Drosophila melanogaster: one gene and its partners. Changing the gene in region 3 together with the main gene of any one other region gives a genetic interaction. Each region holds a gene or a part of one and is shown on either strand. Other genes may lie near its edges. The genes, in order: hry, fru, ac and Hip1.

Region 1 (6,064 bases), on a different chromosome or scaffold from region 3:
TGCAATTAAATTGGCATGCACAAGTGCCGCCTCTGCCGCCGACAACGCCTCTGCCGACGCTGACCGCGGGCGGGCCGCCTTTTGATCGGCTGCCAAATTGTAATTGGAACGCGAAGGTGTTGTCGACGTCCGCCACTACCGTCTATATATATATGTATCCATATTGTTGGGGCATGTGTTCTCGGCATAACAACCTTCTCTGGCGACCACAAAACGCACAACACTTTAGACAACCGTCAAAAATGTCAGAAATTCCCCAAACTTTTTGAGTATTTTCACGAATCGATAGATATGCATATTTGTAAGACGTGATTGTTGATTAAGTTCAATTTCATTTAATTATTAAGCAGAAATTAAGTGTAGTAAAATCAAATTAACTTCTAAACGTTTTTTTACTCATCTTCATTAGAGTCAACTTTATTAGTTTCTATAAAAACACTGCCAGGTGGTTTCGCTATAAAAAAAATATTGTAAACACCCGTTTTTAGCCAACTTGAATGTTTAAAGCCTGACTGACTCATTCCAATGTAACTTTGTTGACGATTCGTGGTTTTGGTATAACTTCACTAATCAGTGGTCAGAGTCCAAGTCAGGCTTTAAAAATATTTCCCAAGAACAAACGTCAAAGATAACGTAATTTCCTTTTATAGATCGTGTAACCTAAATATGTGTCATCTACCTTTACTGAGCTCAGCCTGGTTAAACTAATTACATGGTTATTACCATTTCTTAAAACTTAACCCATATTTTGTAAATAATAGATGGCTTAAGCAGTTATTTAAAATATCACTTTCGGTTGTAACGAAATGTGTGTGACGCACTTTGGCTTTTTACTACCAAATAAACAATATAATTTAAGCTTCATTTTCACTGTAATATTCCCAGTTTTCACTGCAATGCCCCTCTTCTCATTCTGCTAATGAATGGTTAGTTTTCTGATGCCCGACTATTCCGCGTGTCGCGTAATTATAGTCAACCTTCGATAAATCATTACTCCAAAACAAAACAACAAATAATATATGAAAAACGTGAAAATCCAACGCTGCACGTAGAAGCCATCAAGCTGAATCTAAGCGTCCGGCGGAGCACGTGTGATCCACGCAGCCTTGTCCACAGCGATTTCCATTTCATTTAGCCCGTTGGCGGCTATCGATCAAAAGCCAAAAGGGCGACCTTCACTTAATTGAGGCGTACGGCATGCTGAATGAGTCGGTTGTACAGACTGGTCTGGAAAATGCTAGGGGGATAACTATAGCCACCACCCACTGCCCGATCGCCCAACCACCCAACCACCCAACCACCCACTTCCGCCTAGCGTGCGCACAACCTTGTGATCTTGTTTACTGTTTAGCGACCCCCGAGCCGCAGATACACAGTACACAGCACAAAAAACCGAACCTGTCGCACTGGGGTGGCGTCATATAGCCAGCTATTTTCACCTTCTATGGGACGTCGTCGCGTTGGCCGCATGAATCAGCAAACCACGAACGGCGAGCCACCAGAAACCACCGCAGAAGCAGCAACAACACCAACACCACCGCGACCATCACCAACAGCACAGCCAGAAACACAGCCTCTTGTGAATCCCTCAGTTAGCAGAGCCCAGCAGAGTCAAGCCAAACCGATCGCTGATCGACCGACCGACCGACGATCACCAATGGGGGTTTCGCAGTGTGATTTCCAAAAAGGAAGAAATGCCCATTCCCGCGAGCCACGGGGGCGTATGAGTAACGCGGTGTGTACTTTAGGTACCGCTCACAAGCGTGAGCACGCACACACACACACACACACTGAAGCGAGCAGGTAGCGCATAATGTATACCCCTAGGTAGCCGCAATGCCAGTGCAATTGTATTGGTGCGGTCGTGTGGCTCGCGCTCGCGTCTCGCAGCGGCGATTTAGCCTACGAACCTGTCGATCAATCGTCAGTCTTCCGCCGAGAGCCCAGCGATAAGGTAGTCCCGCTACGCTCCGCAACATCCAGACGCAGTAAAGCAAATACTTATATATATATATACATACATATATATAGCGCAACCATCCGAAAGCCGAACGATCGATCTTCTGCTTCGTGCCGAGTCGTTTCGGTCTTTTAATCGCACTGCAGCCAGAACCTGCTGCTCATTCGCCTGCCGTATTTCGTAGCGTGCGGTTCTATCGCTCCGCTTTGATAAACCGAATCGAAATCTAGAGAACCCCCCCAGACACAATACCATTTTACGTGCTTCTCTGCGACGCTGCGCGAAAGTGAAACCACCAAGTGAACTTGAAAAAAAAAAAAACTGACAACTTGAGTTATTCTAAAAAAAGCAAAAAAGCAGTGAACTTATATTGCAAAGAGCAGCAAATTCAGATTTGCTGCCAAGTGAAAACCAAACTGTGCCTCAAACTCAACAAACAATATCTGACCGAAATGGTTACCGGCGTAACAGCAGCCAACATGACCAACGTTCTGGGCACCGCCGTTGTGCCGGCCCAGCTCAAGGAGACGCCGCTCAAAAGTGACCGTCGGGTAAGTTTCTTTCGAGAAAAATAAGACTCGAAAAAAAAAATCCAAAGCCAAAAACAAAAAACCCCGTCAATGGATTAAATCAGAACCTCTAGTTCCCCGAAATCTGTGGATTAACTGAAGCGAACCAAACCGAGAATTCCCCTAATTGAGAGCCACCCACTTCGAGCTCAAGTTGATTTCCATTCGCGACTGTGGGCGACTGGCCCCATCAATCCCGCTGCCCAAATGCATTTCCTTTTTAGCCATCTCCCACATGGCTGGCTGGGAATAAAAATACGAAAAAAGAAAAACACTCTGAGCCAGACCAAAAAAAGGCCGCAACTGCCGTCGGCGCGCCAACACAAAGCGAATTTATCTCGCGTCGCGTTGGTGGCATTTACTATATGGCATATGGCATACTACTCCGACTACACACACGCTCCATCCATTCATGAGTGCCGCCCAAAATTGGCTGGCGTAGCTGCCCACCAGCTCCCCAGATTCGGACTCGGATTCGGATTTGGCTGCCACTTGGCGCGTGCGTCGCGTGGTGGCTGCAATTGTCGGTCATCAGCCGCCGTTTTTGGCCATTCGAACGGCACCGGTTCAATGAGTTGGCCAGAAAAAAAAAAACTGACTTCATGCGAGTCCAAATTTGGCAACTTGTGCTCCCTAGATAATAATGTACCTAGTTATGGCATCTTCGAATTTCCCGCTCTGACCTTGTCACATTCTCTTTATTTTTGCTCATACCTGGTTGGTTTATTTATAGCCACTGCCTGTAATTTATAACCGCCAAACTATTTTTAAATAAATGCCTCGGCCGAGTGGCGCTATAAATAGAGCACGCGCCGTGCGACTAAATTTGGCCGCCAGCCAGTCAATCCGCTCCCCAACCTACGCCGCCTCCTCCTTGATCTCCTCCAATCCAATTGAAGACCCATGCAGCTTCCTCTATTTTTGGGTCGTTGCATGAGGTCAAATTAGCCGTGCAAAAGCCGTGACTAATCGATGTTTTTTTTTTCCATTTCTTGCCTCTTGCAGTCGAACAAGCCCATCATGGAGAAACGCCGACGTGCCCGTATTAACAACTGTCTCAATGAACTCAAGACTCTGATTCTGGATGCCACCAAAAAAGACGTAAGTATCTGACAAAAATATAAGTTTAAAGCCACAAATAAAATAAAAAAAACTACATATTTGAAATTATCTCAAATATTTTTTAAAAGTTTAAATCATTGACTAATTTCCAAATTATTTTCTCTCTCTACTTTTAGCCGGCTCGCCACTCCAAATTGGAAAAGGCCGACATTCTGGAGAAGACAGTAAAGCATCTGCAGGAGCTGCAGCGCCAGCAGGCAGCCATGCAGCAGGCCGCCGATCCCAAGATTGTGAACAAATTCAAGGCCGGATTCGCCGACTGTGTGAACGAGGTTAGCCGCTTTCCCGGCATCGAGCCCGCCCAGCGTCGTCGCCTGCTACAGCACCTGAGCAACTGCATCAATGGCGTTAAGACAGAGCTGCACCAGCAGCAGCGCCAGCAGCAACAGCAGTCCATCCACGCCCAGATGCTGCCCTCGCCGCCCAGCTCGCCGGAGCAGGATAGCCAGCAGGGAGCAGCGGCACCCTACCTCTTTGGTATCCAGCAGACGGCCAGCGGTTACTTTCTGCCCAATGGCATGCAGGTGATCCCCACCAAGCTGCCCAACGGTAGCATTGCCCTCGTGTTGCCCCAGAGCCTGCCCCAGCAGCAGCAGCAACAGTTGCTGCAGCACCAACAGCAGCAGCAGCAACTCGCCGTCGCAGCAGCAGCAGCGGCCGCAGCAGCAGCACAACAGCAACCCATGTTGGTCAGCATGCCCCAGCGTACAGCCAGCACCGGATCCGCCAGCTCGCACTCCTCCGCCGGATACGAGTCGGCGCCCGGAAGCAGCAGCAGCTGTAGCTACGCCCCGCCCAGTCCGGCCAACTCTAGCTACGAGCCCATGGACATCAAGCCATCGGTCATCCAGCGCGTGCCAATGGAGCAGCAGCCCCTGTCGCTGGTGATCAAGAAGCAGATCAAGGAGGAGGAGCAGCCCTGGCGGCCCTGGTAGAGGGTGTCTGCATATGCATATCATATAGCATAGCCACCCCTATCGAATCTCCCGCTTTTAAGACTGACCCCCCACAACTCATCCAACTCGCACACATGCGCAGGCGTTGTGCGCATGCGCGTAGACATTTCACATCATTCGCCGGGATTGCGCAAATGTTGCTTTGAAGTGTTGCAAACATGCGAATCCTAAACTCGGTTCACAACTTCGTTGGCTTAGTTTCCTGGCTTATATCCTGGAAACCCGTCGACGAGGCTAAGGACCTTCATCAGACGCACCCACACACAAACACACACACGCAAACGTTGTTATAATTTATTTATTATTATATTATGTAATCGATTTGAGAGAACGGTATTCTACCAGGACATCGCCAAACTACCTCAGTCCAAGTACTTGGTGTTGAATTGCCTCATGTATCATGTATTACTCTTTGAATAACAGCAAATCAGCAAAAGTCTTCCAAACACAGAAAATGAAAATGCGAAAATAAGCACCTGAAAAGCTGAAATACTTTTTATGAAAAAGATAAACGCAAAAGCATAACTCTTACACATAGTCGTACATCTCCATTTAAGTATAGGTTTTGTACCATAGCCAGCTAAGCCGCTTAGGGTTTCTCTCGCTCTTAAGTCTAATCAAAGAATAATTATATTTATAAAACACACAAATCTATTCGTAAGGCCACGTGATATAGTGAACATAATGAGCTTCTAAGAAAACAAAACAAGAATTTGATGCAAGCAAAAGCAAAAAAATCAACAAGAAAGAAAAAACAAACAAACAACACACTAAAAAGAAATAAATTTAAAAGATTCTACTAAAAAATCAAATACGCAAAACGGATTTGTTATTGTGGTTGGGGTATCTTTTCCTGGGTTTTTTTTTCATTCGGGTGAAAGTCCCATTATGGTTCTTTTTTTTGTTTTAGAGGTCAAACGCTTTGAGTGACAGGAAACTTATCGAGCCCCCCGACTTATCGTAGCAAATTTCGACGCTAATTATTATAATGCCAATGGTGAAATTCATTTTGCTGGAGAGGATCGGCGGGGATTTCGACGATAATACAACTACGTTTTAAGGGGCTCGATTATGTCCGTTTCTGCTAATATAATCGGCACGACGAGTTGAAGGTTTTTCTGTGGCCAGACCGTAACGGATATAGATATATGTGCATCATAAACATTATATAGGAATGCCTTGATTTTCACACATCCGTTCGATAGGCCAGTAATTCGAAACAGTTGTGACGAAATAAATACTTATTATAATCCTTTGATCGATAATATTTTAAAATATTTTGCAATTTAATCATTGGTTATTCCAATCGAAGTGATCAGCAAAAGTTAAGGCGCACAAGGGTATATTTTAAAATCAAGGCAGGTTAGCTCTGATTGCAATAAATCCGAAATTCCATTAGCTAACGATTCAGCAAAATACCGAATTTCTTAGGGATATGGAATGTCAAGAAGTTGGCC
Region 2 (5,239 bases), on a different chromosome or scaffold from region 3:
AACTCTGTGGGTTCTCTATGGGTTCTGCATCTGTATGGGGTTATGGCTCTGGGATTTCTACGAGGCTGTCTGTCACTGGGGGCCGGGCCATCATCATTCTGCCAACAAAATCGAATTACTTCCGTATGTTGTGGCATTGTGAGCACTAGCATTCATACATATATATATATGTATATATATCCCCAATTCATGCCGCACAACAACACGAGCAGCCGCCAGTGCAGCTCCATCTCGACACTTCACTTCACTTGTCCTTGTCATCCGTTACAGACCGCCCTTTGGCCCCAAGCCACCCCCCCCCCTTTTACTTCCACCCATATTTTACCCATATTTTCCCGTGCTTCCCCCGACTTTTCCCACCTCCCAACTTGTTGGACTTTTGTAACGGTTCTGGCACTGGCTGTTCATCAGGCTGCAGTCGCAGCAGTTCGGCTTACACACAATTTACAAAATAACCTCAATCCACCCACTCAATCTCGCATTCCCGCGCCCCGCTGGAAAACTGCGTCCCTGCCTCGCAGGGGCCCTTCACTCAGTCACTCAGTCAGCCGACTGGGAGAGTGTGTAAATTGTCTTGTGTAAATATGCAAATTTTTCTTATTTTCATACCCTGAAAGGGAGTCGCACTGCTGCAACAAGAACTTTACAAGCCTCTCAGGAAAATGCAGCCGCACTAGTACTGTTTTATGAAGTAAAACTAGTAACTTTGGTAAGCACTTTTTTGTAAGTGCTATTCAGAATATGCTCAACTGTATAGGAGTTGTATTAAACAAATGCGACTTTAAAAATATTTAAAGAGTTTATTCAGCATTTCCTTCAAGCAATTTTTTTCTACGAAGGAAATCCTTTGAGATGTATCTATTTATCTAATGAAATTTAAAATATAATTTTGCCAAATCATTATAAAAATTAATATATATACTCCCGATTTTTTCCTAATCCATTTAGTTTACAAGCTCTAACTTGATTTTCTGTTTCATAATAAGATTAACTGAAATATTATATACTCTTGCATCGTTTGAGTTCACATTTTTTAATTTAAAGTTGATATGGTCTGCTTTTTACTTTATTTTAACTCATATAATAAGAGTAACTTTCTTAAATCATCCTAATTTCTACCGAAATAGATTCCCATCTATTTTTAGGCACTTTTCGTGCAAGGGTATTAAGCGTATCGACTTCCTGGGGTGTATCCTGTCAATCCTGTTTTTATTGTCAACGTTGTTGTTATTGTCTGGAGTGTGGATAGGGATCGGGGGCGCTGTGGGCGGGGCGCTGGCAGTTCGTGTAAACAAACCAAGGCGTCGGATTAAAAAGTTTTGCATTACAAAGAGTTTTCGGTGGACGGACGATGGGGACGGAAGCTTGGGAAAATGTTTTGATTATTTAACTGCAAGTTACGATAAAACTAATTGCAATTACAAGCGGACTCTTTCCCTTTATGGCCCCTAATGAAATTGGCAATGCCAAGGCTGACGATTCAGCACAACTCAAATCAAACTCGGACGCAAACTTCGCACTGCAATTTTATTGGCCCGGTTCAATTTGAATGGTTTGCTTTCTTTGTTGGCCTCTGCATAAATTTTCCTCGGGCAATATTGATTTCCATTACAAATCCAATATTAAACTATGCCCCTGAGAGCGATTACTCGATTCCTACCGTTTTGCTTACTTACTTAAACCTTTTGTAACTCAACGAAATTGAGGACATGGCCAGGACACGGCCAGGATGCACCCGGCCCACAGATTTGTAGTTATTACAAAGGATCATTAAGAGCGTAGATATATTTTCCCTTTAGACTTGTCATTTAATCTCTGGAAATATTTACTACACATTCCTACCTCATAATTTGTCAAAATATTTTTGGGTGCCTTTAAAAACCAAATTTATGTTGGCCGGGGGAGATGTAAGAGTACTCAAATATATTATTGAATATAAATTGGTAACACGGATTAGCCAGTTTGCAATTGGCCTTGGTCTGCTGAACTTCTGAATAAACTGAATCAAATGCAGATGAAGTAAACTGATATTTGCTAATAAAATATAAGAAACTGAAATTTGAATTGTGCTCAGCCAACTTTAGGTTTTGTTGTAATTTAATTTGCTAGTTAAAAGTTTTCGAAGATTTTGTTGTTATAACTGAACCGAATGTTTCTTAGCAGTATAGTATTCTTGCAAAACACCTCAATGTGGTTTAGAAAAATAATTTATTGTAATTTAATTTAGGTATATCTTAATTCTGTCAGTAGATTCTATGATTTAATTTTCTAAAAATTCTTTGTAATTATTAAAGGTAAATAAGGACCATATATTTGTCTGACCTGTTATTAATTATTTTATACATCTGTACTGATGTGAATGGATGAATATTTTTTAAATGTGTTAACGTAGTGAATTTTCTTGCAGTACCATAGATATTAACTGCTTGGATACTCACTCAAATATTTTAATATATTTATTTTATATTAAAACTTGGAAACCCCAACGTTTTCGAACCTATCTAACATTTTTAAATATAAAACCTAATTGATAAACACGTACTTCATAATAGATAGCACATAGTGAGAATGCACTTTAAATATTTTTAGAACCCACATTATAAAATTTTCAAAAGACTTAGTTAAAATAAATATTTATACAAAGAAAATGAGCAAACAAATGTTTTTTTTTTAATATTGGTTTTGTACCTGTGCCCTTAACGTATTCCACAAAACCACTTAATACAATTTGAACAACATAAAATCTGCTCTCAGAAGAGCATATCACCTGCACTTTAAGTAACTTTACATAGGAATACCTGGCTCTTGTTGGCCGGGAACACAGACTCACCTGCTTTTATTTGACCTTATGCGGCTGCAACTTGTTGACTTTAATGAAAATGCACTCAGCAGAGGCTGACTGGCACACACAAAACGCTGGCACAACAAGTTAATATGTATTAGCTAGTCGCTAGTATGTCTGTAGTATCTTGGCTTAAAACGGCACTCGGTGAGACACCAACAGAAAAAAAAAGGACAAACAAAATCGGGCGGCACTCGCACACTCAAACGTACGCACACAGTTGCAAAACAAGTCAAGCGCGAAAGGACCGACTAAAACATGGCTAACATGTTTGGCTAATTGGCGTTTCTAGCGCCGATTTTTACAGCGCTCTAGCATTTATGTAAGCGGAATGTAAAACGCTTTACAGGACTTCAAAGTCTGGATTGGATTGGATTTGAATTGGAATGTTGTGGCAGGTCGTTCGGTATGTCGGCTGCTGATTTCCTTCGAAGGGATTGTGTGAGCTGTGCGTCCTTGCTGAAGGAGCCGCCGCGTCCAACTGACTGCTGCTGGATGTGCAAGCTGCGATTGTTGCAACGACTCTGCTGTCGCAGCACCAACGAAACGCAGCAGCAGCAGGCGCAGCACGGCGACAGCAGCAGCGTCAAAGGCAAAAGCAGCAGCAACACATAAACGCAGTACATGGTGGGTTCGGTGGAATACATATACATGCTCGTTGCTGCCGAAGTCCTTGCAGTCGAAGGGTTGTGTAGTTGCACTTGTAGTTGCTCGTGTTGCAACACACACAGCAGCAGCAGCAGCAGCAGCAACAGCAGCAACACGACATCAACTTCGGCCCACATTGTGCAATTGGCTTAGTTCCCAGTCAACAACTGGCCGCCTTTACAGTGCCCGTTTACAGCGAAGAGAAATGCTCTCGATATCCTTGGCTGCTTTCTCTCCGAGGATTTTCTCGAACAGCTGTTCGCGCTTGCCGGCTCTTATCAGTGAAATGGTAACAGCTCCTGTTAGCGTGCAAATGCACTTTTCTTTTCTTGGCTTTCCGCAGTGGCATTTCTTTTCGTTTCCTTCCTCTTCCTTGCCTTACTTTCATTTCCGTTCCTTTCGGTGGGGTTTGATTTATTATGTAAAAGTACAAGGACACTGCCACATACAGTGGGTACTCAATTAACTAGCTTTAGAAAACGAAAATATATATATTTTTAAAAAGGCAATGTTTACTTTAAGTAAATATTAATTGAATATAATATGATTTCAATACGAATAGCAAACATAAGTAGGCAACTTAACGTTAATAATTGATGAGTAGGGAAAACTAACAAACAATTTATCAAAAATGTATTAAATATATGCTTTCGCTACGATCCCGATTACAGGGTGTACACTGTACCTGCGGAGCTGCGTGTGCGTGCCAAGTGTTGGACAAACAAGCTGAGCACTAAAGCCGGAATACATTTGAGACTCTTGCAATCGACTTAATACGCCGCTAGAAGGGGGCACGATACGGCCTCATTGCCCCTACGGGAATGACAACCAATATGAAAATGGATTACCACAAAATGCAAATTGCGAAATGGCCAATTGATACCAGCGTCTAGCCACCTAATCGTCCGATTAAACCACCTTAAAATCGCAAAGCAGCCAGGCATTAATTACACGAAGTAAATACACCGACTCGGTTTACTCGGCAATGATAAAATCTATTATTAGAGAGGCCGAGTGGAAAGTTTTCCACCAACCAAGCCAACCAACGTTTGCTGTTGCCAACCGGCGTTGTTAGCAGAGCGCTGCTAAAGGACCTCTGTTAACTGGGCCGGCACGTGTTTCTCTCTCGCACGCACACAGCGAAGCGGATTTTTTGATTCTGTTTTGATTAATAGCTTCGTTGCAAGCTTATCAAGCGCCCACACACACACACACACACACACACACAAGCGCGCGGCCAGGAAGTGCAACAATGTCACGTGGCCGGCATTTGCCGAAGTCTCCTCTCGCCAGGACTCGCGCTCGCTCTCATTTCGAGTTGCCCCCATTTTCTCTCTCTGTAAGGCCTGCGCTGTTTACAGCAGTTAACTTTTTTCCAACGCCCTGCAATCGAACATGTTGCAACTATCCGTCTCTTTTGCGCATTTCCCCAGCCCATCGCAACAACAACAATAAACGAAAATAAACAAAAACAAATATAGCACGAGCAGCAAAAAATCGAGTATTACATAAGTCGGTGCTCCACCTACGCGAATTGGAATATAGTGCTGGCCCTATGTGACTGTCCTATATGAAAGATCGGGTATTTTGGTCGGTTCCTCGCTTTTGGCGAATGAAAACTGCGAAAATGCATTGTTCGTTTTAATTGCCAAGGAGCCGGACTTAACTGCCACCCAATGTGGCATGCATTTCGGGGGCTAAACGACAGACGAGGGGAATCACCGATTTGAAATTAGCCAGCAATGAAGC
Region 3 (3,592 bases):
GAAGTTGGGGGACTCAAAACCAAAACCATGGGCGGCTTTCGTCCTTTCATCGTCCGGAGATCGGTAATCTCTGGATGGCAATTTGATGGCCATGAACAGTTGACAGTTGACTTTTTATTTATTCAGCAGCAACATTTAATTCAATGGCACCTAGGCGTAGGCTCTACAGTTCTAAGCTCCCAATTTTGAAGACCCTAATAAACATGAGTACATACTTTGTACATACTTTTCATTTATCGGCTAGAATACCTGTACGATCAACATTGGTACTGAAATGTACGGAAGCTGTCCTGTAATCGAGGCCTTACTGTGTCGCAAGCATGCCGCTTTAAGAAGTGTGGAATAAATGAAACAACGTCAAGTAATCGGCAGACCGAGTCAATATTAATGACGACTTCATCTTTATTCGGTTGATACGCCATATATTCAGATCTCAGTTCTTCCCCCCTTAAGTTTATCCCGTCACGATTTTTCGGTTTTCTGTCGCAGGGTCTTAGTAACATTTATTGTACTATTTAGTCGTTATCAAGCAGAAAAGCTCAAGAAGAGCACTTGTGGCGCTAAGCGATATTCAAAGCAAAAAATAATAATAAAATTGCAAATTCATAAACCTGGTTGACACTGAATACCTTGTCTCAATGCTTCGCGGCAAATTTATATTACATCAACACGGATTTTGCAAGGTCGACCGGATATGTTTGATTTTATTAGCCTCTGGACATCTGGTATGTCTGTGCTTAGATGCCCTGTGATGTCCTTTTCACATGTAATGCTATGCAATCCCCCGGGGCTACAGCAACGAAGTGTTAAACGAGGCTCAGTGTGAGTTAGTGCCAATACAAATCTATTTCGGCACGGTTTCCTAGCGTGCAACCAGAATTCTGACAATGGTTTTAAGAAATAATGGGGACCTCCTAAATGCTTTCAAAATGCTTTCGGCTGAGAGGAACAACAACTGATACGTTGGGCATAAAGGCCCCGGGGCATTAGAAGTGTTAATAGAAAAGTGCCTCCGGCTGATCAGGTTTCGTTGCAGGACCGAATGGATCGCCGCCTGAGGTGTTGATGAGCTGGCCTTGAAAATTCCTACGACTTTGGATTCGAGCGACAATGGTCTAGTGTTTAAGATAATGTCCGAATGATCCAGGGATCGGAAGGTCATCAGTACATAAAATAAATTAAATTAAATGTATTAACATAAAATTAAAGATTTTTTAAAAGTCTAAAATACCTAGCCTTGTTAATTAAAGATTATTTTTTCGTAAACACTTTTGGTAGTGTATAAATTGTAAATGTCCCCATTTTTATAATTGTAATGACAGTCTATTCCACTAATTTTGTTGTATTTTGTTAGTTATACAAATTGGATGGCCACTTTCAATAGGAGATACAGCTTTTTACTTCGGAGGTGTTTTTACTTGGCTCTGATGTCTGGACCTTGTTGCCTTTTTAAACCGGTTGGCAGCCGGCACGCGACAGGGCCAGGTTTTCGTTTGGGGACGACAGGCAGCTGAAAATGAGCAAAAACACTCAGAAACTCTTCCCACTCGACAACGGGAACACTCAGGTCACCAACAGCTGCGTTTTACAGAGAGAACGAGAGATAATATTACTACCTCTCTATTAAAATCAGAGAAAACACTCATCTCAAGAGACGATCCTTCAGTGATGATGCTGTTGCACCTTTTCCAGGGGCAGGTAGGTAGTCACGCAGGTGGGATCCCTAGGCCCTGATACCTATAAATAGCCTGAACGGAACGGGGAAGGGCATCAGAACAGAGCCAGCGCTGAAGCAAGGAGCATCGTCACACAATAACGTTATACTATCTCTTAAAATGGCTTTGGGCAGCGAAAATCACTCTGTTTTCAACGACGACGAGGAGTCATCTTCGGCCTTTAATGGACCCTCTGTTATCCGGAGAAATGCCCGGGAACGCAACCGCGTAAAGCAGGTCAACAATGGCTTCAGCCAACTACGACAACATATCCCTGCGGCCGTAATAGCCGATTTAAGCAATGGTCGCCGGGGAATTGGTCCCGGCGCCAATAAAAAACTGAGCAAAGTTAGCACACTGAAAATGGCAGTAGAGTACATACGGCGCTTGCAGAAAGTTCTTCATGAAAACGACCAGCAGAAACAGAAACAGTTGCATTTGCAGCAGCAACATTTGCACTTTCAGCAGCAGCAACAGCATCAACACTTATACGCCTGGCACCAAGAGTTGCAGTTGCAATCTCCAACTGGCAGCACAAGTTCCTGCAACAGCATTAGCTCTTATTGCAAGCCAGCAACATCGACGATTCCGGGAGCAACACCTCCTAACAATTTTCATACCAAGTTGGAAGCCAGTTTTGAAGACTACCGTAACAATTCCTGCAGTTCTGGTACTGAAGATGAGGACATCCTCGACTATATATCACTCTGGCAGGACGACCTGTAAAAAAACAGATCAAATCTTCAGCTATTGCTAGTCGCACCCAACCATAACACACATCAAACCATTGATTGGCCAACAAGTATTACCTCAGCCACAAAGTATTTATATTCCCTAGAACTACCTTTTTGCCTTATAAATTAGTATTTAAGGTTTTATATAGTTTCTAAGGATAGTTTCTAATGGAAGACAATTTATATTTAAGTTTTTTTTTATAGCATACATTGAGGACATTAAACTGATATATATAAAATTTTAAATGAGTTTTTATTGTAAACAAAATTAAACGGTAATTAAAGTGAAACAAATTTATGTACAAAAGGAGTAAAATTCAGAAAAGTTTTAATGAACAAATGCTTTATGAATATGGGCGTAGCAATGTTTTGATACAAACTTGATCCTGTCCTGTATACCACAGGACACGCTTCCTTTTACCTGGTACATTCCTTTAAACGATCCTAGTATACGCTTTATTCGGGGTAAGCCCGAAAAAAGTATTCGAAACTGTAACCGTTAAGTATTTACAGATCACTAGCCAATGAAGATAAATTACAATAACATTTTGTAAACACTTTTGATCGAAAACGCCGATTTGCATAAATAAAGTTGGATTGAGTAGGGTGAAAAAGGCAAAATATTTACCTGCTGCATTTTTGCATATGAACCGGTCAAGGTAATAAGATCCTGAGAATTCACAATTCCGGAGAGATCGATCGATCGATCGATGAATGAACTAATTTTGAGTTATTCCCGCAATGCAGCCGAAACAAGCGAAAAAACAACGGTCGGCAATTGTTCAGATCGCCCCCGACAACGTTCAGAAAAATGAAAATAAGATCTGCTCAGGCATTCTGCACCGGAAGCCGCCGCGATGAAGCTGCTGCAAAAAAAACTCACGCAAGATACATATACTCTAAAAACAAAAGAAACATGGTTCATGGGTCTTTTCGGCAAATTCTTCACCATATTAGATCACTACATCACACACCAATCTATTCATTAGCAACAATAAAACACTAATAGAAATTGATAATTTGTATACCTAGTTCTTGTCTATTAATCATAAATATTATACTTTTACATGAACCTGAGTCGTGGAAGGTATACTTTTTAATGAACGTAAGCCGTGGCATATGTATCGAATTATTATTTCCGGC
Region 4 (7,758 bases), on a different chromosome or scaffold from region 3:
AACGAATACAGCAGAGCAATCTATTGAAAGGAGAAATAGGAATCTGCAGAATCATCCAGGCGTTTCTGATTCTTTGAGTAACAATCCACCATCCTCAGAAAATAGACGAAAAGCCCCATCCCAAACATCTTACCCAGTACTTAGACGTATTCAAAGAAATGATTCAAACAATTCGCAAGGCGGAAGATTCATTTCGGCCAGCAGCCAATATCCTGACCAGCACAGACAAGATGAATACCTAGCTTGTGATAGAAATAATAGTGACCAAAGCCATCGCGATAGTCATCAAAACGAGGACGGGTCGCATAATTCAGCTATGGTTGGAGCTTCTGGGTATTCTACTGACTTAACTTGGACAGATCCACCTCCGAACTCCCAATTACTAGCTCCCAATACATCGACTGACGTGGAAACACTGGAAACGGTAACCCTAATGCAACCTCGAAAACTTCGTAGTTGTGAAAGTGCTGGGATCAGAAACCAGGCAAATATCAATGGGAACACCGTTCTTATAGAGACAAGAACTCCCTGTAACAGGGAAATTCTACTCCAGACCTGTGGACGACCGCCCTGTAACTCGTGTCCTTATCAATACACGGGTCTTCCTCCGAGTCTCCATCAAGGATTTACGAAGCCACCGGATCATATGCTACAACCGCAGATCTCTGTGAGTGCTCCACAAAATGTCACTCCTTTCGATGAAGGGTACCTTATAGATCCGCGGGATCAGTGGATGCCCACTAAGTCACCAGCTTCAGCACCAGCCGTGCAGCATCAATTTCAAATGAAGGAACAATGTCAGCCGGATCATGGATCCTATCATCATTTTCAGGAATCTGTACATACTTCAGACCCAAGTTCCTCTCAGGCCAGAAACCCTGACTACAATCCTCAACTAAAAGAGAACATTCGAATGCTTCCAGATGGATTCTATGAACGCACCGTGAATAAGTATAATATAACACGCATGGATTCCAACTTCCAGCCACCGGAATTTTCACTGCAGCCAAATTTTGTTCACGGAGAACAGCATCCTACTTTCAGACACCACGCTTGTCCTTATAGCAATCAATATCATCATCCGCAACTGATGATGACATCCGTTCCAGATCCCAATCGACGTTACATTCCACCACAAAACCAATACCCAGCCGAGATGTTTTGGCCACAGCAAAATGTACATTTGGATTACTATGATCAATCGGAATACCAAATTTAATCCAAACAGTTGGAAGAATACATTAAATTAAAATTACTTTAAAAACAAATTAAAATTGTCGTTCTTTTATTTAAAGTAAAAATATGGTAGCAGATCTATAAATATCGAACAAAATCTATCTTTTTAGAAAATCAGTACACAAAAATTTCAAAAACACATTCTAAAGCTTTTTTTTAAACCATCGTATAAAATCAAATTAAATTAAATTTTTAACTTAACTGAAGTTTTATTGAAAGCGTTCGATGTTATAATTTAAATATTGGTTCATTTAAGTGTATTTCAATTCAAATATCCTTCGATTTAATGGAAAAAAATAAAAATTTGCAAAACATTTTTTTTCGCGCTCAAAATGGTGATGCAAGAAGTTGATGACTATCGAAACGAATCGATAGGGTAAAGCCCGCATATCGGAACACCGCCCAGCTCTATTAACTTTTATCGATAAAGGAAAACAACATTTGTTTATATGACTAATTTACTCTTACACTCATTGTTTCATACACGCACACGATCGGAATCCGAATGAATACGAACGCGACCAATACGAAAACAATGGCCAACATTGTTGATAAGATAAGATAACTCCCGTTTCCAATGTCTTTGCTGTCTTTGCTCTAATGCACATATATCGCGCTGCGAATGATTCGAATTTGTTCAGCAAGTACGCCAAGAATTGTCAGTAAACAATGGCAACTCACGCCGAAAAGGAGTTCTACCACCTGGTACGTAAGCCCAAAGGAAAGCCAAGAAAACCGCCAAGAATACCCACAGCAGATTATAGGCACACGGATGTTGTCATATCATGTGCATAGTGTAAATACCTAAATGTTTATGCACACAACTACAGGCGCGCCGCTCAAATATGCATAAACATTTCACTTAAGAAGTCAGCCTTGAACCAGATTATATGGAACAGCTCGAAATATCATCAGCTTTTCACACGACTTGCAACACCACAGAGACTACACTACATGCTAATCCCAAGTTTCTCCGCTTCGGATGACCCAGAAAATTAGAAACTGCAATGAATGCTATGCGGACTACATCCACTTTGATCAATTGTTCAATGTGCACACAAAGGCCTTTCAAATTTTTTGATTATCAACCCAAATTCGGCACGATAAGAAGTGAAATCCAGTATTTAGATTACCTTCTGTTATCATAAATTCATATCAAACACATGGTGTAGGTGTTTGGAATCTTATTTTTAAAAGCATCGAAATGTTTGCACTTCCAAACTAAATAGTCGATCAGTGAGTCACCCCCTTTAGATCGAATTCCACTAAAAAGTATAAAACTATAGATATCGTCCGCCAAAATCCGTCCATATCTTATAAGCTGAGTCAGTCACTTCTTCGAAAGTGTACAACAATAAAAAGCCATTTAAACTATAATATTTACATTTCATTTCAGAACGTCAGCGTGTCCAAAGCTTTAAATGGCCTGGAAGCGCCACTCAAAACCAAACATGCCCGCTCCATTATTATTATGATACACAAGGCCAAAGAGGCCAAAACATTCTGGATGATCATCTCCCGGCAGCCTTTGATGCAGAGTAGATTTACTGCCTGGAAGTTTTCGCATCTGCTGCACAAGGTCCTGCGAGAGGGTCATGAAAGTGCCATCCGCCACTCGCAGAGCCACAAGAAGATGATACTGGAGGTGGGAAAAATGTGGGGCCTGCTGCAGGACGATATTGGATGCTGCATACAGGCGTATAGTAAGCTCTTGGCCACAAAATTAAACTTCCACGACAAAAATCGAATGTTTCCCGGCACCCTGAACATTTCGTTCACGGAACTCTTCATTGCTGTGGATAGGGATTTAAATTATTGGTAAGTAAAAATAGATATATATTACTTTCAAACTACTGAGACAGAACCATTGATTCCAGTTTTCAACTGTGCGTGGAAATTTTCGACTACTTGGAGGATATAATTGCGCTGCAATTGACGATATTTTCATCTATGGAAAAGTACAGAATGTCGTCGATGACACCGCAGGGACAATGTAGATTAGCGCCAATAGTTTGCCTTATCCAGGATTCCAATGCGTTGTACGATTTAAGCGTTCGGTTAATGTTTAAACTACACGATGGTGTACCATACGACGTTGTTTCCGGACACAGAGATCGCTTTCACGGTCTGTTTTTAAAGTTGAAGAGTTTTTACAACAACGTGCGACCGCTTCAGTATTTCAAGGACCTAATAACAATCCCGGAATTGCCGGACTCAAGTCCTAACTTCAAGTCCCAAAACGATTTCACCAGTTATGTACCGCCAGTGGTTCACGTTCCCCAGGAGCCCGATCCGGTTGTTGAAGACCTTGTGGATACCAACAATCACGAGCTGGAAGCCTTCAGTCAAGCCCAGCAGCAGCTTAGCATGTTGGAGGGTATAATCAGCGAGAAAGAGGCTAGCATTGAGGAGCTGTCATTCAAATTGGACGCAATGCAAAAAAATTTCGACGCACTGCAGCAAAGCTACAGACACGACGTTCAGGAGTTGCAACAGAACAATACTGTGCTGTCAAATGATCTGGTCTTGGCGAGAGAAATGTGTGCCACCTTTCGGATGCAAAATGACGATCTTGAGATGCAACTGAATCAGAACCCAATTCTTTTACGTAATTAAATGCTTATTAAACATAATGAAGTCATATAAAAATACCTTGTATTTCAGAAAAAGCTATGGAGGAAGAAGAAAAGCACAAGTTGTCGTCGGAAAAGTTTAATAAACTTAAAACTCTATACACAAAGATTCGAGATGAGCACATTCAGCTGCTGAGAGAGGTATGCAGAAACACAATATTTTCTATTTCCTATACTAATATTCATTCATATACTTTTATATCAGCAAAGTGATTGCAACAAGTCCTTAAATAAAGAGAAACAAGTAAACTCACAACTATTGTTGGAAACTAAGGAGCTTACCAATGAAATTTCCAAAATTAAAGTAAACGTAGAGGAAAAAGAGAAAACAAACTTGATTCTGCAAAAGCAAATCGAAGAGCACAAGGAGAAAATAGCACATCTTGAAGCAGTCAAAAACGAGATGAAGGAGAAATTCGATGATGTGGTTAAACAAAAGGAAATTCAGGAACTCGATATTATTTCCACTTCCGAAAACCTGAGGCTAAATTGCCTCAAAGTCGAAGAGCTTAATGGAAACCTCAATGACACCCTGGAAAAACTGTCGAACGCCGAAAGCCAAATAAATGCAAAGACCGAGGATATCGAGAAAATGCTAAAAGCTTTTGAAGCGGAAAAGGCATTGCTCTTAACTCAGATTGAACAACAGAGTGTTGAAAGTAAAAGCCATAGTGAAGCTCAAAACGCTCAATTGCAAGAAATAATGGATAACTTGGAACAAAAGGATAAAGAGTTCAATGAAGTTAAGCTTCAGCTGTCCAGCGCAGAAAGCCAAATCAGCTTAAAGGCATTGGAAATTCAAAACAATTTAAAGGCATTTGAAGCGGAAAAATCAGTGCTATTAACTAAAATAGAGCAGTTAGGTATAGAGCATAAAAACAACAGCGAAGCACAAAATGCTCAATTGCAGCTAACTTTAAACAACTTGGAGCAAAATGAGAGTGCATTACAGGTAAATGAAACCAATTTAAATCAAGAAAATTATAGAAACTGCTTTTCTTTCTTCAGCAAACCCAGGAAATTGTGAATCAATTGAGGCAGGAAAATGCTTCAGCGGGTCAGCGTAACGAGGATTTGCAAAGCAAACTCTCGCTTACTGAGGTAAAACTAACCCAAGCAACACAGCAAATTGATGCCGTGACAAGTTCGTACCAAATCTGTAGTACCGATTTGAGTGAACTCAGAAAATTGGTGATCAAGACTGTAAAGGAAATATGCAATTCGAAGTTGAGCGGATCGGAACAACAGCCTTTGGATGCGGTGCCAAACATAATACGCGAAATGGAGACCATTTTAAATAAGTTCAATAACGCATCGGCTATAAACTATGTTGCTTCAACCGAAGGACTGCAAAATGTTATGTATCTGGGTTATGTATTTATAAAACTATACGATCAATGTGATGTTATCTACAAAACAACAACTGCAATTGAGACAGGTCAGGGTAAGTTGATAACACTAAAAACATAACCACCTACAGCAAACTAACTTTGTATTACTTATTTTGCAGAAATTTTCTCAAAAACAAATTTGTTATGTACCGATATCTGTCAATTGTTCCAATACTTATTAAATAATGAAACAAAAGAACCCGAGAGACAGAAAACAATCACTGATATACAAACAAAGCTGAGAGATATTGAAAAGCTGATTGAGAAAATAAAGGCATCATTTGAACAGAAGATTGATTTAGATAAGCTGCTCGAAATCGAGCTTCGCGAGATGGACGCTGCGATTGATGATGCAGCCTCCAAAATTACAGATCTACTGGCAAAGGCTCGAGAGAAGGACAACCAAACCAATTTAGAGGTAAACGGAAAAATAGTGGATGCGTGTACCACCTTGATGGAATGTGTCAAAGCTCTAATCCAAAAATCTCGTCTCCTGCAACACGAAATCGTGGCTTCCCAAAAAGGTAGCTAACAATATTTTTTAATTCAATGAAGTTACTGACAAGTAATTACTCTTTCAGGAAATGCGAGTGCTAATGAGTTTTATAGGCGGAACAGTCAGTGGTCAGATGGTTTGATATCCGCCTCGAAAAGTGTGGCGAAGGCAGCCAACTATCTGGTGGAAGCTGCAAACAAGGCTATTGAAAGTGAATCTGGCAAGAACTTTGAACTCATTGTGGCTGCCCAAGAAATTGCTGCCTGCACGACCCAAATGGTTATTGCGAGCAAAGTCAAGGCTGAACGTAATAGTCAAAAGCTAACCGACCTCACAAAAGCCTCGCGAAGCGTAACGCAGGCAACAGGAACTCTGGTCGCCACCGTGAAGGATTGCAACTCCCAGCTGGAGCAGCAGAGTGAAATAGAACTTTCTAAGCTAACGCCATCACAGATTAAAACGATGGAAATGGAAATTCATGTTAAAGTACTCGAAATCGAACAAGCTCTCCAAATGCAACGACTAAAACTCTCATCGTTTCGTAAGGAGCATTACAAGAATGCCGATTATTAAATACCATATTTATTAATGTTACTAACTTTACAAACATTCTTTTTTGTATTAATGCCCGTCATGACAAATAATATATCTACACAATATTTACACTGCGGTCATTTTATCCTACAATGAATCCGTAATATCTGTTTATAGTATTCCGTGTCGATCGCTTTTTGATCCTTGATTTATATCACACCATAGTATGTGGGTTCATTATTTCTTAAATGTTTATTTTACTTACTACTTGAAATTAAAATAGCACTTATTGCCAAAGAAAATAAAATGTAACATTTGTTGTCAAAAGGTTTTTGTTTATTATCACGAACCGACCTATTGCATTTTATAAAACGGCATGTTCACGTTCATCAAAGACACTTTTAGCGTAGTTTATCTAAAAGAAAAAGACAAGTATGGAATATATGTGATAATCATTTCAAAATTTGTAAAAGTAAATAAATTATATGATAAACAAAGTCTGCGCTTCAACAATAATAGTTTATTATTGAAAGATAATTTCTACTAATTTCTGCTAAGATGATTTCTACTTACGCATCTTGATGCTGCCTCAGCACATTCCTCGGAACGACACCGTATCCTGGGCCTGGTAATCTTTGGAAGATTGGTTGATATCTCGATGTAGTGACTGGCCGACGCCCTGCTGCTCGTGGTTGGCGTTGTGCCGGCATTCGTTACCACTGGATGGCACGAAAGAATCTCACTAACATGACATTCAAACATAATGGTTGGATTGGCGTCGCTTAGTGAAAAGATTCGTACGTATTCTGTAGAAACCAGCAAGCGCAATCTAGCCTCCTTGTCGCTCCATAGATTGGGTTCATATGAAATTATCTTCTCCGAAAAGTTCTTTTGATTGATTAGGTACAGATATTGCTGCCCCTTGCTTTGGCGATTGGAATACAATGGCAAAAGACCACCAGGAGCACCAGTCACACATCTGGGTAGCCTTTTCCTTTCCGGAGCGTTTCTGTGACTATCTCGGCTTGTTTCACGAACGGCACTGGCAGTTTCCGATGCCAGGTCCAATACACCAATGATCGGTTTGGTGACAGTGCCTACTAAGCCCTTTCCCAATCCACTGAGAAAGCCAGGAACGCCATCGGAAGTGGCACCATCGTAAGTGTGTCTTACAATACTCGTTACTCCGCCCAGCAGTCCAAATCCGAGACCCTTCAGACCCGCTGCAAGGTGACCGCCGGATGTATTGGACTGCAGTTCCAGAATGCGTTGCCTCGTCTCATTGTCGTGATCATCCAGCACAACTTTTCCCAGGCTATCGGACAGCGTTTCTGTTAGCTTCGCCGTCGAATTCGATATGCCATGCGTAACATTTTTCACCAAACTCTTGACGGAGCCCTCAAAAATCAGTCCGGATACTCCTTCCGAAAGATCGTTGGCAAATCCCAATGGATTACCAAGGAAATCG

What was found.
Region 1: of ac (region 3) and hry, changing one suppresses a phenotype caused by changing the other (phenotypic suppression), as found in Drosophila melanogaster (3 studies listed by BioGRID).
Region 2: of ac (region 3) and fru, changing one enhances a phenotype caused by changing the other (phenotypic enhancement), as found in Drosophila melanogaster (one study listed by BioGRID).
Region 4: of ac (region 3) and Hip1, changing one suppresses a phenotype caused by changing the other (phenotypic suppression), as found in Drosophila melanogaster (one study listed by BioGRID).

What each region holds. Positions count from the first base shown.
Region 1 is NT_037436.4:8,673,838-8,679,901, forward strand, and holds hry (hairy), read left to right. Parts: upstream 1-1,921; 5' UTR 1,922-2,412; coding exon 2,413-2,511; intron 2,512-3,534; coding exon 3,535-3,630; intron 3,631-3,767; coding exon 3,768-4,586; 3' UTR 4,587-5,416; downstream 5,417-6,064. UniProt on the Drosophila melanogaster protein: Pair-rule protein that regulates embryonic segmentation and adult bristle patterning. Transcriptional repressor of genes that require a bHLH protein for their transcription (e.g. ftz).
Region 2 is NT_033777.3:18,542,283-18,547,521, forward strand, and holds the start of fru (fruitless), read right to left. Parts: upstream 3,305-5,239; 5' UTR 2,831-3,304; intron 1-2,830. UniProt on the Drosophila melanogaster protein: Probably acts as a transcriptional regulator.
Region 3 is NC_004354.4:368,259-371,850, forward strand, and holds ac (achaete), read left to right. Parts: upstream 1-1,772; 5' UTR 1,773-1,835; coding exon 1,836-2,441; 3' UTR 2,442-2,689; downstream 2,690-3,592. UniProt on the Drosophila melanogaster protein: AS-C proteins are involved in the determination of the neuronal precursors in the peripheral nervous system and the central nervous system.
Region 4 is NT_037436.4:12,767,458-12,775,215, reverse strand, and holds Hip1 (huntingtin interacting protein 1), read left to right. Parts: upstream 1-1,642; 5' UTR 1,643-1,905; coding exon 1,906-1,941; intron 1,942-1,996; exon of another isoform or gene 1,997-2,472; intron 2,473-2,632; coding exon 2,633-3,054; intron 3,055-3,113; coding exon 3,114-3,844; intron 3,845-3,900; coding exon 3,901-4,010; intron 4,011-4,074; coding exon 4,075-4,821; intron 4,822-4,877; coding exon 4,878-5,313; intron 5,314-5,379; coding exon 5,380-5,784; intron 5,785-5,841; coding exon 5,842-6,329; 3' UTR 6,330-6,654; coding exon of another isoform or gene 6,655-6,705; 3' UTR 6,706-6,784; downstream 6,785-7,758. Other genes in the region: CG32106 (uncharacterized protein), read left to right, coding at 1-1,219; Vps13D (vacuolar protein sorting 13D), read right to left, coding at 6,655-6,705, 6,864-7,758.